Lytechinus pictus: one gene and its partner. The protein of the gene in region 1 purifies or fractionates together with the protein of each later gene. This does not show direct contact. Links are inferred from orthologs where the notes say so. Each region holds a gene or a part of one and is shown on either strand. Other genes may lie near its edges. The genes, in order: acidic fibroblast growth factor intracellular-binding protein B-like and C2 domain-containing protein 5-like.

Region 1 (7,614 bases):
AGTTTCCAAGTCGTATGCATTTTCTGTATATAGTACTGAAAAATGAGAAGAAAACTGATGGTTTTATGCAAAATACTGATTTCTAAAGATTCAGTTTCATGTGTTGTCCTATGGCATTTCTTTGAAAATACAGATTTCCTCACCAAAATACTGATTTTCAGCTTTAAACATACCAAAATGTTCTTGTTCGGGCTGGCAGCTCTGAGAATACCTAAATATGCATTATCATGCAACAAGAATCAATATCGTGAATACAGTACATACCCACAGAACCAGCAGTCCAACTGCTGATCATTTCATCAGCACAGTAGGCTAGGTCGTTGAAGGTCAGGTACTGAACACGCTTCTTACCAGTCTCAAACCGATTGTTGGCAAAGAATACGATGGCAGCGTACTTCCTGATAGTGGAGAAATGAGTTCAGTCACATTTGATATACATCAGCTTCTATTCTCTCATTTAAAGTACAAAGTTTTCTAAACTATCACAAAAGATCAATATGTAACTTTATCAAAGTAGAATACATTTTATGCAGCTACTTTCATATAGCTATAGTACACAGCTATGATTTCTTTAGTACATTTCATACTAATCTATTCATCATCTGATTTGTCTTAGCCACTCCTACCCATCCCCCCCCCCAAAAAAAAAAAACATCCTCATACACAAATATTTATCTGGCAACTAACTTCATTGTGCAGAAGTATACAAATAACAGGAGTAAAATAGGTACCGGTAACTTAAATGCTGATTGTAACAAACTATCAAGTTGTCATTGTCTACATACATCTTAGACAGGGAAAGAACATATATGACCTAATAATCATCATGTTACTTACTTGGCTAGCTCTTGCGAGAGGAGAAAATGATTTTGGATGTTCTTCACCATAGGGCCTTCCATATCCTCAACCGTCTTGAAAACTCTTTTGAAATTATCATACTGCATGTTAGAAAGATGGCGAGAGAAAGTGAAACATACAAATGAATACCATATTTAAGAAGTCGTACACTACATTCATAGCCTAAGATTGTGCCATCATTTGAAAATGTGATCATTATAATACAAGTGGATCCTGTCCAAATAAGAATGTTCAGTTGCCAATGGACAAACTTTGAAATTGTAATTTCTCGCTCCCCAAATCCTTCCCTTATGCCACGATAGATTTGGTTAGATAATAGATATATACTGTACTTCTAGACATTGCAATATACATTACCTCTAGTTTGATTGTGTTCAAAAAGAAATTTATGTGAGTGTTGAAAGGAAAACAAAGAAATTGCATCGATGGCAGGGTGGTAAGAGTTTCATAAAGATGTTCAAGAATTCAATGCACAATGTGAAAGAGTTAAATGCACAATTTATCGAATGACTGGAATATGTTCTTGAGTGCTCAATCAGCTTAACTTTAATCTGTGCAGGATAAAATTATTGATACTAACAAGCATCTGCACCGAGTTAATTAAGTTAATATGTTCTTCACTACCCAAAAATGGCAAAATAGAGATAATCAGGAGTATTAAGTTTAGCGCAAAAACACATTACTTATTATGATCTAAAAAAAAAAAAACATTGGATAATTTATACCTGTCTCCTGCAGCTTCTAAGAGCAACATTGGTCTTGTCTCTGATCTCATCTAAGTCCTTCCTGTGCCTGCTAGAGAGTTTCTTACCAAGGATTTCCCTCGCAACCGAGGAATCTAATTCATAGAAACTAGCCAAAAGAGTCAAAGATAAACAATTCATCAATTAATTATTTTGAAAATATGAAATACATAAATAAAATAACAAAAATAATACATTCTTGAAAAATATTCAAAGAAATAAGTAATTAACAAATTACATTTAATAATATACAGATAGACAAGAAGTCAAATACTTGTCAAAGTACAATCAGATGTGTTATTTATTATTGTTATTTTCTAAGTCGAACAGGTTTCTATCGTCCAAAGTAATTTGACATTATGGGCAGACTCATTAGTATTTGAAAATCATTTGAAAATAATGTTAGACAATCGTCAATAGTATATAAATCACAAATATTTATAACAGACCCTGCCTATTTAATGAAAATCTTTTTCTCAATCTAGAGACAAAGAAAGAAGTCTGGACATACCAACTACCCCTACCCTCCCCCCCCCTCCCCTCCCCCCCCCTCCCCTCCCCCATGCCCGACCTTGATCCTTCTACTCACTTTTCTATAAGGAACCCTTGCATGTCTGGAGGAAGTTGAAATAACGGTTGATTGGCAAGAGATAGTGGATTCTGTAGGTGCTTCTCCATGGCTATGAAGGCCCTGTAGTTGTCGTCTGTATCGTTCTTGATGATCTCAAAGGAGTAGCCTGGTTTCTCGCGATTGACCTTCTGGTGTCTCCTCCTGGCTGCTTCATAAGCTAGGCAATAATACAGAGGATGAAGCAAACAGAAATTTGATAACCTGTATTTTATAAGCATAAGTAGATGTCTACACACCTTTCATGAAGTCGAGATTAATCTGCTCTAGCCCTTGATCTCTAATTGCTCTCAAATTGGCGACAATCCTTTTTAATTTTCTATTCAATTTTCATACTTTGACAAAATCGATTATGGTCGGATTTAGTCTAATTGCATGATCATAGATTCATAGTAAACTTCTAACAAAAAAGTTGCCGATCGAGAAGTATCAATTTAAACTTCCAAATTTTATGTCAATGTATTTTCGAGAATTACTAGACTAGCCAGGTCTAACGTTGTCGTTACTTAGATAGAGCTAGATTGAGAAAAAAGTATTAGGGCCTATTTATCATTATTTATCAATATTGATAATTGTTATGTTATTGTTTTTATTATCATCATCACCATCATAGTTTTATAGCATAGCCATAGGGTCTATGGTATATCTATTGATTTTTCAATAAATAGCAATCTCAATCTTGACTGTCGATGCAACATCATCGTCATCATCATCATCAACAACATTCACATGTCAAAAACGGCAACAGCAGCAACAAAAACAACACAATTTTTACCAGAATAACCATCCAACCAGTATCTGTAAACTTCAGGATCAACCATAGTGATGTTGCCAACAACGATGTTGACCATTGTTTCCGACATTTTCGTTGTTGTTCCCTTCGGCTTCCCTTGATAGCTGTCCAAGTAATTGAAGTGGTGGCGACGGAGATCGAGACGGCATACAACTTTGCAAATACAAGGCAGGACAATCGGGTGGACAATCGTGCATATATATGCATTGACATGCACCGTGCATGCCGTACAAGCTACGCTGAAAATAACACTTCGCTACCCGGTACTAAAATACATATCCACAAAATTTATACACTTCACTATGCAGTGGTACCAATGAAAAGGCAAATTAAAAAAGAATCTATTTCTACTGGTTCTGCCGGCCACGGAAATAAGGAATTCACCCAGGTTTGCTGAGTAGTGAGTTTATTAAAGGGATGGTCCAGGCTGGAGATATTTATATCTCAATAAATAGAGTAAAATTCACAAAACAAAATGCTTAAAATTTGATCAAAATTGGATAAACAAATAACGAAGTTATTGAATTTCCATTAATCGGGCTGATGATGTCATATCCCCACTTGTTAATTCTTTTGTCTACTCCCAGTTTCGGACAGGGGCCGCGGAACGGTTTTCAGAGTGGGAGAGGGGCTGACCATGCAAAAAATCAGAATTCTATGGTCATTTTTACGTTTTTTGTACACGATTTTGGAAAAAGTGGGGGGCTGAAGCCCCCCCCCCCCCTTCCGCGGCCCCTGTCGGAGGGGGTGCATGGTGGCCTCCCTTTATTTGATTTGGTATGGCCATATTGCAATTCGATGAAGATCATGTGATCCGTTTGGACCATGTGGATCATGACTTCGCGGATCCGTTTGGACCAATCAGATTACAGAACATTATTGGGAGTTGTATAATTCGGATGGATAAGAACCAATAAACTGTCATTAAATCTTTTGAAGACGAATTACACATTAACTCCTGTTCCTATTATATAAAGCTTTTCATCCGCCGACTCAAAGTATATCTTTGATCAATGAAATTCAAATCGTAAATAAAAAAGGTTTGTACAATGAAAAAGAAAATATGCATTTCACGCATTATGTTGTTGTTTATTTCACTTTTTTTCTTCCTCTCTTATTCAAACTATGTAATTGAATATTAATGAATAATTTGATTTGAGGGGGCCACAATTTACAAGCACAGCATCACAGTGGACTCCAGCATGTTATTTCCAGCTTCAAATATTTAGTGATCCATATTAAGTTTCAAATGTACAATTAAAATGAATATATATATATACAATAAAACTGATATGAATTAGGTCTCAATGTTGTTGCCATAAAACGGGACAGTAGCGTACGCAGGATTTTTGAAAGGGGGGGGGGTTGAGCTAATGAGCTGAATAAAAAGTTGACAAGCAAAAAAAAAAAAAAAAAAAGGTTTCCATCAAAGATATGAGGTCGTTTCGTATCCAAAAAAAATGACAAGCAAAAAAAAGGGGGGTCGCTACCTGTGCACCTTCCTGCATACAACTGAAGGCCGGTTCCAAACTCTGAGAAAAGTCTTGCGGTCTGCACAGGGCGTTATCAGTTCCCCCCCCCCCTCATCCCATATCCATCGGAAAATATCAATACACGATTTTTTTTTCAATGGAATTGTTGGTTATATAATTATTTTATAATCAATTTATTCATTTTTACTGTCTTGCGCGGCCTTATATACCGATACAGGTATTGATTGGTTATTTCATTCACAAGTGTCACGAGATCATGAATAGCCGTGCAAGTTTACGGCGTATACAAATGTACCGGCGCGGCCCATTTATGCAGCGATCACCAAAGTCATCTAAGATTTGAGAGGCTATCTGTATTAACAACAAGTATTAACACTATTTTACAGAGAGAAATATCAATTCTTGTAACTTTCGTGAATTCCTTTTTCACCACTTTTTCTCTCCTTCACTTCCTGAGGCTGAGGACGATCCGCACACGATGACCAAGACAATCTTCACGTTTATTTGCATGGCATTTGCCTTTTTCTGTCTTCCCAAAGCAGAATCCAGGACCATTTCAATGTATGATTTGGAACCTGCAACTTTGATAAAATCGAGTTCAAAAAAGCTCGGCGGTCCTCCTATTTTCCACAATTGCAGTAAAGCGACAGGTGAGTAACGTTACATCATTTGTACTATTGTATTTGTAGGCTTCACAGTATTCAAACTTAGTTAAAACTACCTAGGCCTAGGCCTAAGTTAAAATTGTTTTTGTTGAACTTTATTAAACTAAACTTTTAAGTTATTCCTTTAACATGTTTAAACAAAAGACGGCTTAACTGCAGAATACCCCGACACTGCTCACTACCCAATCGTTGGTCAGCCAACACAACGATGTCAAGACCTATAGCTAATACTAATTCAATGGTATATAGCCTAGATATATCCATACTATTATATACGTACATGCATTACTGGTACTACTACTACTACTATACTACGTACGTACGTACGTATGACGGTACGTACGAGCAATGCATCCAGGCCATACGTAATGACCTTTGCCCTTTGACTACTACTAGAGCTATAATTAAACATCGTTGGGTGCGCTGCTAGCCAACGACCCACGTTGTGACGGTACGGACGGTGCAATATTCAAAACATCGCTAACCAACGATGTGACGGTGCCATGTAACATTTAAAACATCGTTGGCTAACCAACGACCCACGATGTGAAGGTGCAATAGTACAAGATTAATACACTCTTTTAAATTACCTACTACTACTAGCTATTGCTATACATCGTTGGGTGCGCCGCTAGCCAACGACCAACGATGTGACCGTGCAATGCAACATTCAAAACATCGTTGGCAAGCGTTTCAAAGTATGGTTTCACAAAACAGTTTAATATATGCATATCCTGGTTAGTGAGGTGATCGATGTCATTCACTCTCTATTTCTTTTGTATTTTTTATACATGAAATATTTTCATTTTTTCTTCATTAAAATATGAAATAAAGTTTTAATTCCCATTGAAGGAATTCAATGGGAATTGAATTCAATGGGAATTGAATTCAATTAGGGTTAGGGTATAGGGTTAGGGTTAGGGTTAGGGTTTAGGGTTAGGGTTAGGGTTAGGGTTAGGGTTAGGGTTAGGGTTTAGGGTTAGGGTTAGGGTTTAGGGTTAGGGTTAGGGTTAGGGTTAGGGTTAGGGTTAGGGTTAGGGTTTAGGGTTAGGGTTAGGGTTAGGGTTAGGGTTAGGGTTTAGGGTTAGGGTTAGGGTTTAGGGTTAGGGTTAGGGTTAGGGTTAGGGTTATATTCACATCGTTGGCATCGCCGGCAATGTTGGCCTCTACAACAGGCATATTCACATCGTTGGCATCGCCGGCAATGTTGGCCTATGTAAGATACATTCACATCGTTGGCACTGTTGGCATCTACTACAGGCACCAACACATCGTTGGCATCGCGGGCGCTGTTGGTATATACATACTAAACATACGTTCACATCGTTGGCATCGCCGGCAAAGTTGGCCTATACTTACTAAAGATACATTCACATCGTTGGCATCGATGGCAAGGTTGGCCTGTACTACAGACACCAACACATCGTTGGCATCCTGGCCGGCGCTGTTGGCCTATACGTACTAAAGATACATTTACATTGTTGGCATCGTTGGCACTGTTGGCATCTACTACAGGCACCAACACATCGTTGGCATCGCGGGCGCTGTTGGCCTATACATACAAAAGATACATTCACATCGTTGGCATCGCGGGCAAGGTTGGCCTATACTACAGACACCAACACATCGTTGGCATCCTGGCCGGCGCTGTTGGCCTATACGTACTAAAGATACATTTACATTGTTGGCATCGTTGGCACTGTTGGCATCTACTACAGGCACCAACACATCGTTGGCATCGCGGGCGCTGTTGGCCTATACCTACTAAAGATACATTCACATCGTTGGCATCGAGGGCAATGTTAGCCTGTACTCTACAGTACAGACACCAACACATCGTTGGCATCGCGGGCAATGTTGGTCTACATAGGAAACTACAGATATGATCGCATCGTTGGCATCGCGGGCACTGTTGGCATGTACTACAGACACCAACACATCGTTGCCATGGCGGGCAATGTTGGTTTACATAGGCAACTACAGATATGATCGCATCGTTGGCATCGAGGGCAATGTTGGCCTGTACTACAGACACCAACACATCGTTGGCATCGCGGGCAATGTTGGTCTACACATACTACGGAAATATACACATCGTTGGCATCGCGGACACTGTTGGTCTACATACTACAGAATATAGATCGTTGGCATCGAGGGCAGTGTTGGCCTGTACCGACTACAGACACCAACACACCGCTACCATCGCGGACTGTGTTGGCCTACACGTACTACGAAAATATACACATCGTTGGCATCGCGGGCAATGTCGGCCTACATACTACAGATGCACACAGATATATATATAGATCGTTGGCATCGCGGGCAGTGTTGGCCTGTACTACGGACACCAACGCACCGCTAGCATCGCGGACTGTGTTGGCCTATACGTACTACGAAAATATACACATCGTTGGCATCGCGGACACTGTTGGTC
Region 2 (7,895 bases), on another chromosome or scaffold:
TTGACTTCACATCGTTCGGTAAGTTTCGGAGGAGGATCTACTGAGTACCGGTACTGACTCTACTCTACTCTAGTCTTATTAGGCACTTCAGTCGGGCGGGCGATCGCGCGGACACAGCGCTACACGTAGATTTTTGCATTGCAGTGAATGGCGAGCGCCTATCTAACACACACAGTTCGCTCCGCTCGGCACTTTGGCCGAGCGCTGGAGTTGCATTCGGCATTGCTCGAAAAGACAGAGTCAGTTTCTTCCTTTATTCCGCTGATTTTGATTGGTCAAAAATTCCCGCGGTTGCTTCGTACATCTTCGGTAAACATCGGAAATATACAAGACGGAGTCTAACTTACCTTCATGCGAGGGAAGGACCTAATATTCAGGTATTTATTTTTCTTTGCTTGAAATCACCTTCTTGTAATCATCGGATCCCTTGTAAACTCGGTCAGTAATAAAATTGTATATTTGAGAACATTTTGTGAAATTCTAATCAAATTTGGTCCGTAGAGAGTTTGCGAATATGAGCTTCAGTTTTGAGTGTCATGAGGTGTTTGTGAATCTGACTCGGCCGATCGAGCAGGGTTGTTTTGAGCGTATACGAACAGCTGTGAGTGACGTCATCCCCACTGCGTTGGGCCTGAGATTAGTCTTGGTATTCAGACACAGTATGTTTCAGCCGTTGTATATTTTTTTTTAAATTACGATTTGAGCTGTGTTAATTATGAAAATCAAATTGTTATTTTGAAAATAATTTTGTAGAATTCGTGTGAAATAAGTATTAAGAGCAAAACTGCAAGTAAACTTCAAGAATTTTGTTTGATATGTGATTTTTTGTTGGAATGCGTCTGAATGTCTAGAATATGGTATTGTTAATGAAAGTCGTATTTTTGAATGGCACAGAAAGCTCCTTGCATGAATTTAATTTAGAAATAGGTTTACATACATGAGATGTGTTTCATGAATTTGATATCTGATTTATGGACCTTTGTTATGGTGTTAATTATTAATTTGAAGATATTATGAAAAAGTAAGAGAAGACAATAATGAGGCAATTAACAGTGATGATGAGACATTAATAATATGAGACAATAAACATTGAGACAATTATAATTATTATGATTATAATGATAACAATTATAATTATAATGATAATAATTATAATTGTAATAATTGAGACATCAATTCTAGTATTTATTGACAATAATAATTATTACAGTAATCATTATTATAACAAAATAATTGTAATAACAATTATAATGATGTACTTTGAATTGTAATAATTACTGAGATATTAATATTAATGAGATATCAATAATAATCATTATAATAATAATGTTTATAATTAAAATAAATATAATTGTAGAAACAATTACAATTATAGTAATTATAATTATAGGCCTTATAATTAATGAGACAATAATAACTATTATTACAATAATACTAATTATTATAAAATAATTATAATGATAACAATTATAATGAAAGTAATTATAATTTTAATAATTACTGAGACAGTAATATTGAAAGGTCAATAATTATTATTATAAAAATTATTATGATTATAAAAATAATCATAATTATAATTAAAGGCCTTATAATTATTGAGACAAATAACTATTATTACAATAATAATAATTATAAAATAATTATAATGATAACAATTATAATGAAAGTAATTGTACTTGTAATAATTACTGAGACAGTAATATTGATAAGTCATCAATAATTATTATTATTATAAAAATTATTATAATTATAATTATAATCATAAAAATAATCATAATTATAATTATAGGCCTTATAATTATTATTTCAATAATAATTATTATTATGAAATAATTATAACAATAATTACTATGATAGTAATTATAATTGTAATAATTATTTAGAAAATAATATTAATGAAACAAAAATAATTATCATAATAATAATTATTATAATCATAATTCTAATTGGGACAATAATGAAACGATGATGAGACAATAATAAAATCAACAATTTTATTGAGACCATAATAACAAGACAATAATGAGATAATAGACAATTGAAATCAATCTGTTTTTATTTTTTTCTACAAATCCTAAGATTATTATTTTAATTCTCTTTCTTTGATTACAAATTATATTCATTGAAAACTTAATTTCTAATGTTCAAGCAAAGAAAATCAATATCAAGTCATGTTTACCCTGTGCACAAACCTACCACAGGGCAATTACCCCCGAAATAGGGTTAGGTTAGGTGTAGATTTTTGGATAGGGGTACAGTGTAGTTGTCCGGGGGGGGGGGGGGGAATTGTCCAGGGTGGGTGGGGGTGGGGGGTTATCGTCCAGGGGTAGTTGCCCTTGAACCAAAGAAATCATATGCCAATATGTCAAATCAATCTGAGTACTTTAAGATTTAAATAAAAAGCTTGTACAATTCCCCATAAGCTATGTTATGTATTATAAATGTGCCATGCCCAAAACAAAGAGAATAATAAGATTTCGCAATCTTCTTTTGTCCACAAAAAGGCCTGTTTTTTCATCACAAAGATGACAATAACTCGACTTCTAGATATCGGAATTTGACAATTCAAACAGTTTTGTAGATATTGAGCCTCATTGACATTGTGAGCCCATCAAATATGCTGGAAGTGGAACAGCCGGCAGCCTTTCCTAATTTTCACCTGAAGTGCCTAGTCTTATGAAATTTGCGGGAGTTTGTTGCAATTTTGCATGCGCCGTGCCTTCAAAGTTCAATTTTCCTGTACATGAGACGGTGGCCTGTTCTGTTTCCAGAAGAAGAAGAAGAAGTAACCATGGTCATGATGATTATGGACGCCGGTGTTAATAAACTGGCCCCGGCACGGCCCAGCAGATTATCGCTCCGCAGCGGATAGCGCGAAGAATCCGCCGATGCGCTGGGGGAGCTCATGTTTGCGGCATCGTTGAGTCAGACTGTCCCAGACCCAGGCCAGGCCGCTGCAGCTCATGAGCTAGTGTTTTAGTGAGCTAGTCGGCTCAGAAATGTGAGACAAACAAAAATCTGCAAACTTTAAATTCTACTTAAAAAGATCTGATGATTAAATATGCAAACTATAAAAACAAAAAAATACTTACAATCAGTTTCTAAATTATTAAAATGACGAAAATCAAGGACACTTTCACAGAGACATTCCTTGGCACAAGCTTGTACGGTAACATTTCTTGACAAAATCACAAAGGAAAAAAATAATCGTTTCAACAAGGAATATCGCATCTTCCAGGAAAAAAAAAACCGAGAGGGCCAACACCATTTTCATTTGCTTGCTTAAAACCCTTCCAGCCTGAATTAATAATGCATGAATTAATTCATTTCCAATTTATCTCAGCTATGGTCGGCAGACTATTAAACATACCTATATCATACGCATACAAAAATATAATTCATTTTTCTGGTTACAAATTCTATTATTAAAAAATTGAGATTTCAAACCTACCTTGGGATGAAAAAGTTAACTATAAGCCTATATATAGCAGTAGTGCTGAATTCATGATTCTGATATAGGGGGTGCAAAGATCAAATATGAAAAAAAAAGAGGGAGCACATTCAATTTTTCTTGGCTAAGCTAAATCAGCGAATGTTAACCCTTTCCACGCGTACTTCGCACCAATGCACACTCGGTGCCGTGCGAACTTCGCATTTCACACTCAACAAACAATGCATTGTTTCCCTCCTGAAAATCATTCAGTACAGATGGGTTCATGGTCCAGCGCACAAAGAGTTCATTCATGGTAAAACCCTCTCTCCTCTCTCTTTCACTCACTTTTCTCTCTCTCTCATGATCTCTCCTTTCGTGTTCTTCATTCACATTTTGCAGTGTTCCCCAGAAGGAAAAACCAGTAAGACCAGTAAGAATTTTTACTGGTTTCCAGTAGAATTTTACTGGTTTCCAGTATATTTTTACTGGACCAGTAAAAATCAACTGGAGACCAGTTCAAACAATTGCATTCCAGTTGAAGCAAAGTAGTAATACCAGTTAAATTGTTTTTTCATCAAACTGGTGTTACTGGTCCAATAAATAATGACTTTATTTCAAGTCGGATCATTTGACGAATTATGGAATATGAATCTTGCAATTCAGAGAAAGTTATTATCGTTATCATTGTTATCATCATTCTTCTTATAATTATCATAATTATTATCATTATGATTATTATGATCATTGTTGTTATCATTCTTATTACTGTTATCGTTGTTATTGATATTGTAATTATTATTATTAACATTATCATAATTTTCAAGTATTAACATTATCATTAAAATAATTATTTCCTTTAATTATGATTAAGATCAAAGCAAGATATATTCCTCTGATATAGTCAACTGGTCTAAAGTAATTCATTGTTTGAAATTGAACTGGTCAAGACCAGTAATACCAGTAATTCTGCATGATGCTGATCACGTGGTTTACCTCATTTGCATATTTCCTATTTTAAAAAGAAAAATCAGGATTTAGGATGGAATATCCTTGCAATGGCACTCATTGTTGTTTAAAAACTTTCCAAATAAGTGTGTGAACTAATCCACAATGAAAACGTGTAATTTCATATATCACATTTAAAATAACAGCAGAAACATTAATTTACTAACCATCTTTTCCATCACATTCCACTGACCATGGTATATAACAAACCAAATGCATGTAATAAATTGATCCAGTAAGACCAGTACGAGGACCAGTTCGACCAGTTCGAGGACCAGTAGAAAATACCAGTAAAGACCAGCTTGAATTGGATACCAGTATGAAGACCAGTGAGACCAGTAACAACCACCAGAAAAAAGACCAGTATAAAATTACAGTAATTCAAGACCAGTTTAATTTTTAACTGGACCAGTATGACCAGTTAGACCAGTAAACCGATGTTCCAATTTCCAGAGTTACCAGTTAAAATTCTACTGGTCTAACTGGTCCAGTGGAACTGGTTTTTCCTTCTGGGTCTGCATGGGGTTTACTTGTATGCAGTAAGTTTGCAGATAATATTGTCTTTTGACTAGATTCGCGCTTTCATTAAATGAGAATTTGTTTGGTAGCTATTTTTCTAAAGGGCCCTGTCATTGTAGTATAAGCTTTCGGGGAGGGGGGGGGGGGCTACTTACAATTGCTGGTAAATTTTGTATGTATTTATTTTATTACAGTTTTTAATGGAAAACAAATGAACTGAATTCTTAAGCAATTGATCCAGTATCCATAAACAAGCAAGACAAAAAACGCATTGTATGGTATCAAGTTTAATGTACAATAGAATTTTAGATACATTTAATACAGATGACATTCACACACAGGAAAATGCAAATAATATTTACATCAGCAGTCAAGGTGAAATAGAAAAATCAGTTCTTAAGAAAATAAGAAAAAACAAAACATTAACATCAATTTTGTTATATGCTTAATAATAAATAGTTGATATAAGAATAGTGTATTTTTTACAAGGACATAATAAAATATCATTTTTTGGAGAGCAATACATTATCACATGATTGTATTTATACTATACACATAAGTATTTCTAGAGCACGAACAGCAAACAACAATAAAATCAAAACTTTGTTCATAATTAACACATTAACCCTATTAGTAAGAATATTCCAGGCAAAGTTGGATCACATTTCAAAAGACTATCACTGACATTTATCGTATCGGCCAATCGAATGAAATAACATAGCTTGAAACAAGAGCATCTAACTGGTGATTGATGTCAGATTTTGTGACACAGGGTCCTGGAATGGCACAGTATTTGATACAATATAAATAAACGGGGGGTGTTTCACAAATAAGTATGACTTAGAATTGCACTTAAATGCCGAGTTGCGTGCTGTATAAAAGACATCACTGTATTGGTCAGATCATGCTAAGACTAAGAGGACGCGCATTGCTGCATATTGATCAATAAGATTACGCATTGCATATCATGTATGCATCAGCATTTAATTGCAACTCTAAGTTGCAATATCAGCTAGGAATTGGCTGACCAAAGCTAATCATTCTATTTCACGATATGCTAGGTTAGGTTACGGGGTGTGTGAGAGGAAATAACAACCTAGGCTCCATTCTGAATCTTTCTGAATCGTTTTCCCCCAAGTCTTCAAATAATATTTAAAACAAAAATTAGAATTGAGGTTCTTTGACAAAATAAATGTACTTAAAAATATATTATTCTTTGTAAAAACACAAAAGGAAATAACACAAAACTCGTTTGCATACTACCAGTGGGCTTTTAAAATATTGTACCTTAAAAATAATATTAATAGAATTTTGACATTTAAACAAAAGCCTTTTTTTTATTAGATTTATGGCGATGATGACAACCACTTTATCGTCTGAAAACAATATCTGTATACATGTACAGAAATCTCTCAAGGTGAAAGAAGGTCCCCCTTTTCTCATAATCCTAAAATATATAATTTCTCAGCTTTCCTCGTTATTTATTATTATCCAACACTATAGTTTCAACAAAGATATATTTTTCACACTTAACAATGGAGAGAGCTGTGGAAAAAAAAATCAAACATTAAACTTGCAAATAATTCTATGATGATTTTGGGCTCTACAAAAAACAAGTGGAATGCCTCTGGCCGTCTCACCTGCATCACGCGATTCAATATAGCAGCAGTGCTGATTTTGAAAACTACTATAACTCGCACAAGATGTTCAGTGATACTTGGTTACTCGTATTTCCACGTTTTATGAATTAGACCAATACACTTACATGTATAGAGATATGATGGCAATTCAAAAAATACCCCCAACGTGGCCAAAGTTCTTTGACCTTACATGACCTTTGACCTTGATCATGTGACCTGAAACTCGCACAGGATGTTCAGTGATACTTGATTACTCTTATGTCCAAGTTTTATGAACTAGACCAACACACTTTCAAATTTATGGCTGTAATTCAACAAATACCCCAATTTGGCTAAAGTTCATTGACCCTAAATGACCTTTGACCTTGATCATGTGACCTGAAACTTGCACAGGATGTTAAGTAATACTTGATTACTATTATGTCCAAGTTTCATGAATCAGATCCATAAACTGTCAAAGTTATGATGGTAATTCAACAGATACCCCCAATTCGGCCAAAGTTCATTGACCCTAAATTACCTTTGACCTTGGTCATGTGTCGTGAAACTCATGCAGGATGTTCAGTGATACTTGATTAACCTTATGTATAAGTTTCATGAACTAGGTCCATATATTTTCTAATTTATGATGACATTTCAAAAACTTAACCTTAGGTTAAGATTTTGATGTTGATTCCCCCAACATGGTCTAAGTTCATTGACCCTAAATGACCTTTGACCTTGGTCATGTGACATGAAACTCAGGCAGGATGTTCAGTAATACTTGATTAACCATATGGCCAAGTTTCATGAACTAGGTCCATATACTTTCTAAGTTATGCTGTCATTTCAAAAACTTAACCTCAGGTTAAGATTTGGTGTTGACGCCGCCGCCGCCGCCGTCGCCGTCGGAAAAGCGGCGCCTATAGTCTCACTCTGCTATGCAGGTGAGACAAAAGTCATCATATATAATATGCATCACACACACTCAAAGTTATGACTGATTTAAGGTAATCACAACTGATTTCCATAAATACCAGGTTTATGGTCATGTCAATTTGAATTGATTAAAGTAAACTGAACTATATGAAAAAAATCAAAACCTACTTTCCATTAATTAAGAGGACAGGAATGTTTTATTTCAAGTTGGGATTTTTTTTTTATCATTAACAATTCTAACCTGTGTAGATATATTAAAAGCTTCTAATAAAAAAGAAAGAATTGCCTATATCTATGCACCCTTTGAATTGAAATTACCAAATCATAATCTAAAAAAAAAAAAAATATGACGATCCCATTCAAATTGGTGAAGCCACATA

What was found.
Region 2: the proteins of acidic fibroblast growth factor intracellular-binding protein B-like (region 1) and C2 domain-containing protein 5-like purify together in Homo sapiens (affinity purification with mass spectrometry; 3 studies listed by BioGRID and IntAct, counting the BioPlex papers as one, with this or other methods). This does not show direct contact. The link is inferred for Lytechinus pictus from reciprocal best matches to the Homo sapiens genes FIBP and C2CD5.

The regions. Positions count from the first base shown.
Region 1 is NC_087251.1:44,752,629-44,760,242, forward strand, and holds the start of acidic fibroblast growth factor intracellular-binding protein B-like, read right to left. Parts: upstream 3,258-7,614; 5' UTR 3,093-3,257; coding exon 3,005-3,092; intron 2,390-3,004; coding exon 2,191-2,389; intron 1,711-2,190; coding exon 1,584-1,710; intron 939-1,583; coding exon 838-938; intron 399-837; coding exon 265-398; intron 1-264. Other genes in the region: NPC intracellular cholesterol transporter 2-like, read left to right, coding at 4,994-5,165. UniProt on the Homo sapiens protein: May be involved in mitogenic function of FGF1. May mediate with IER2 FGF-signaling in the establishment of laterality in the embryo.
Region 2 is NC_087261.1:20,637,882-20,645,776, forward strand, and holds the start of C2 domain-containing protein 5-like, read right to left. Parts: upstream 3,191-7,895; 5' UTR 3,093-3,190; intron 1-3,092. UniProt on the Homo sapiens protein: Required for insulin-stimulated glucose transport and glucose transporter SLC2A4/GLUT4 translocation from intracellular glucose storage vesicle (GSV) to the plasma membrane (PM) in adipocytes.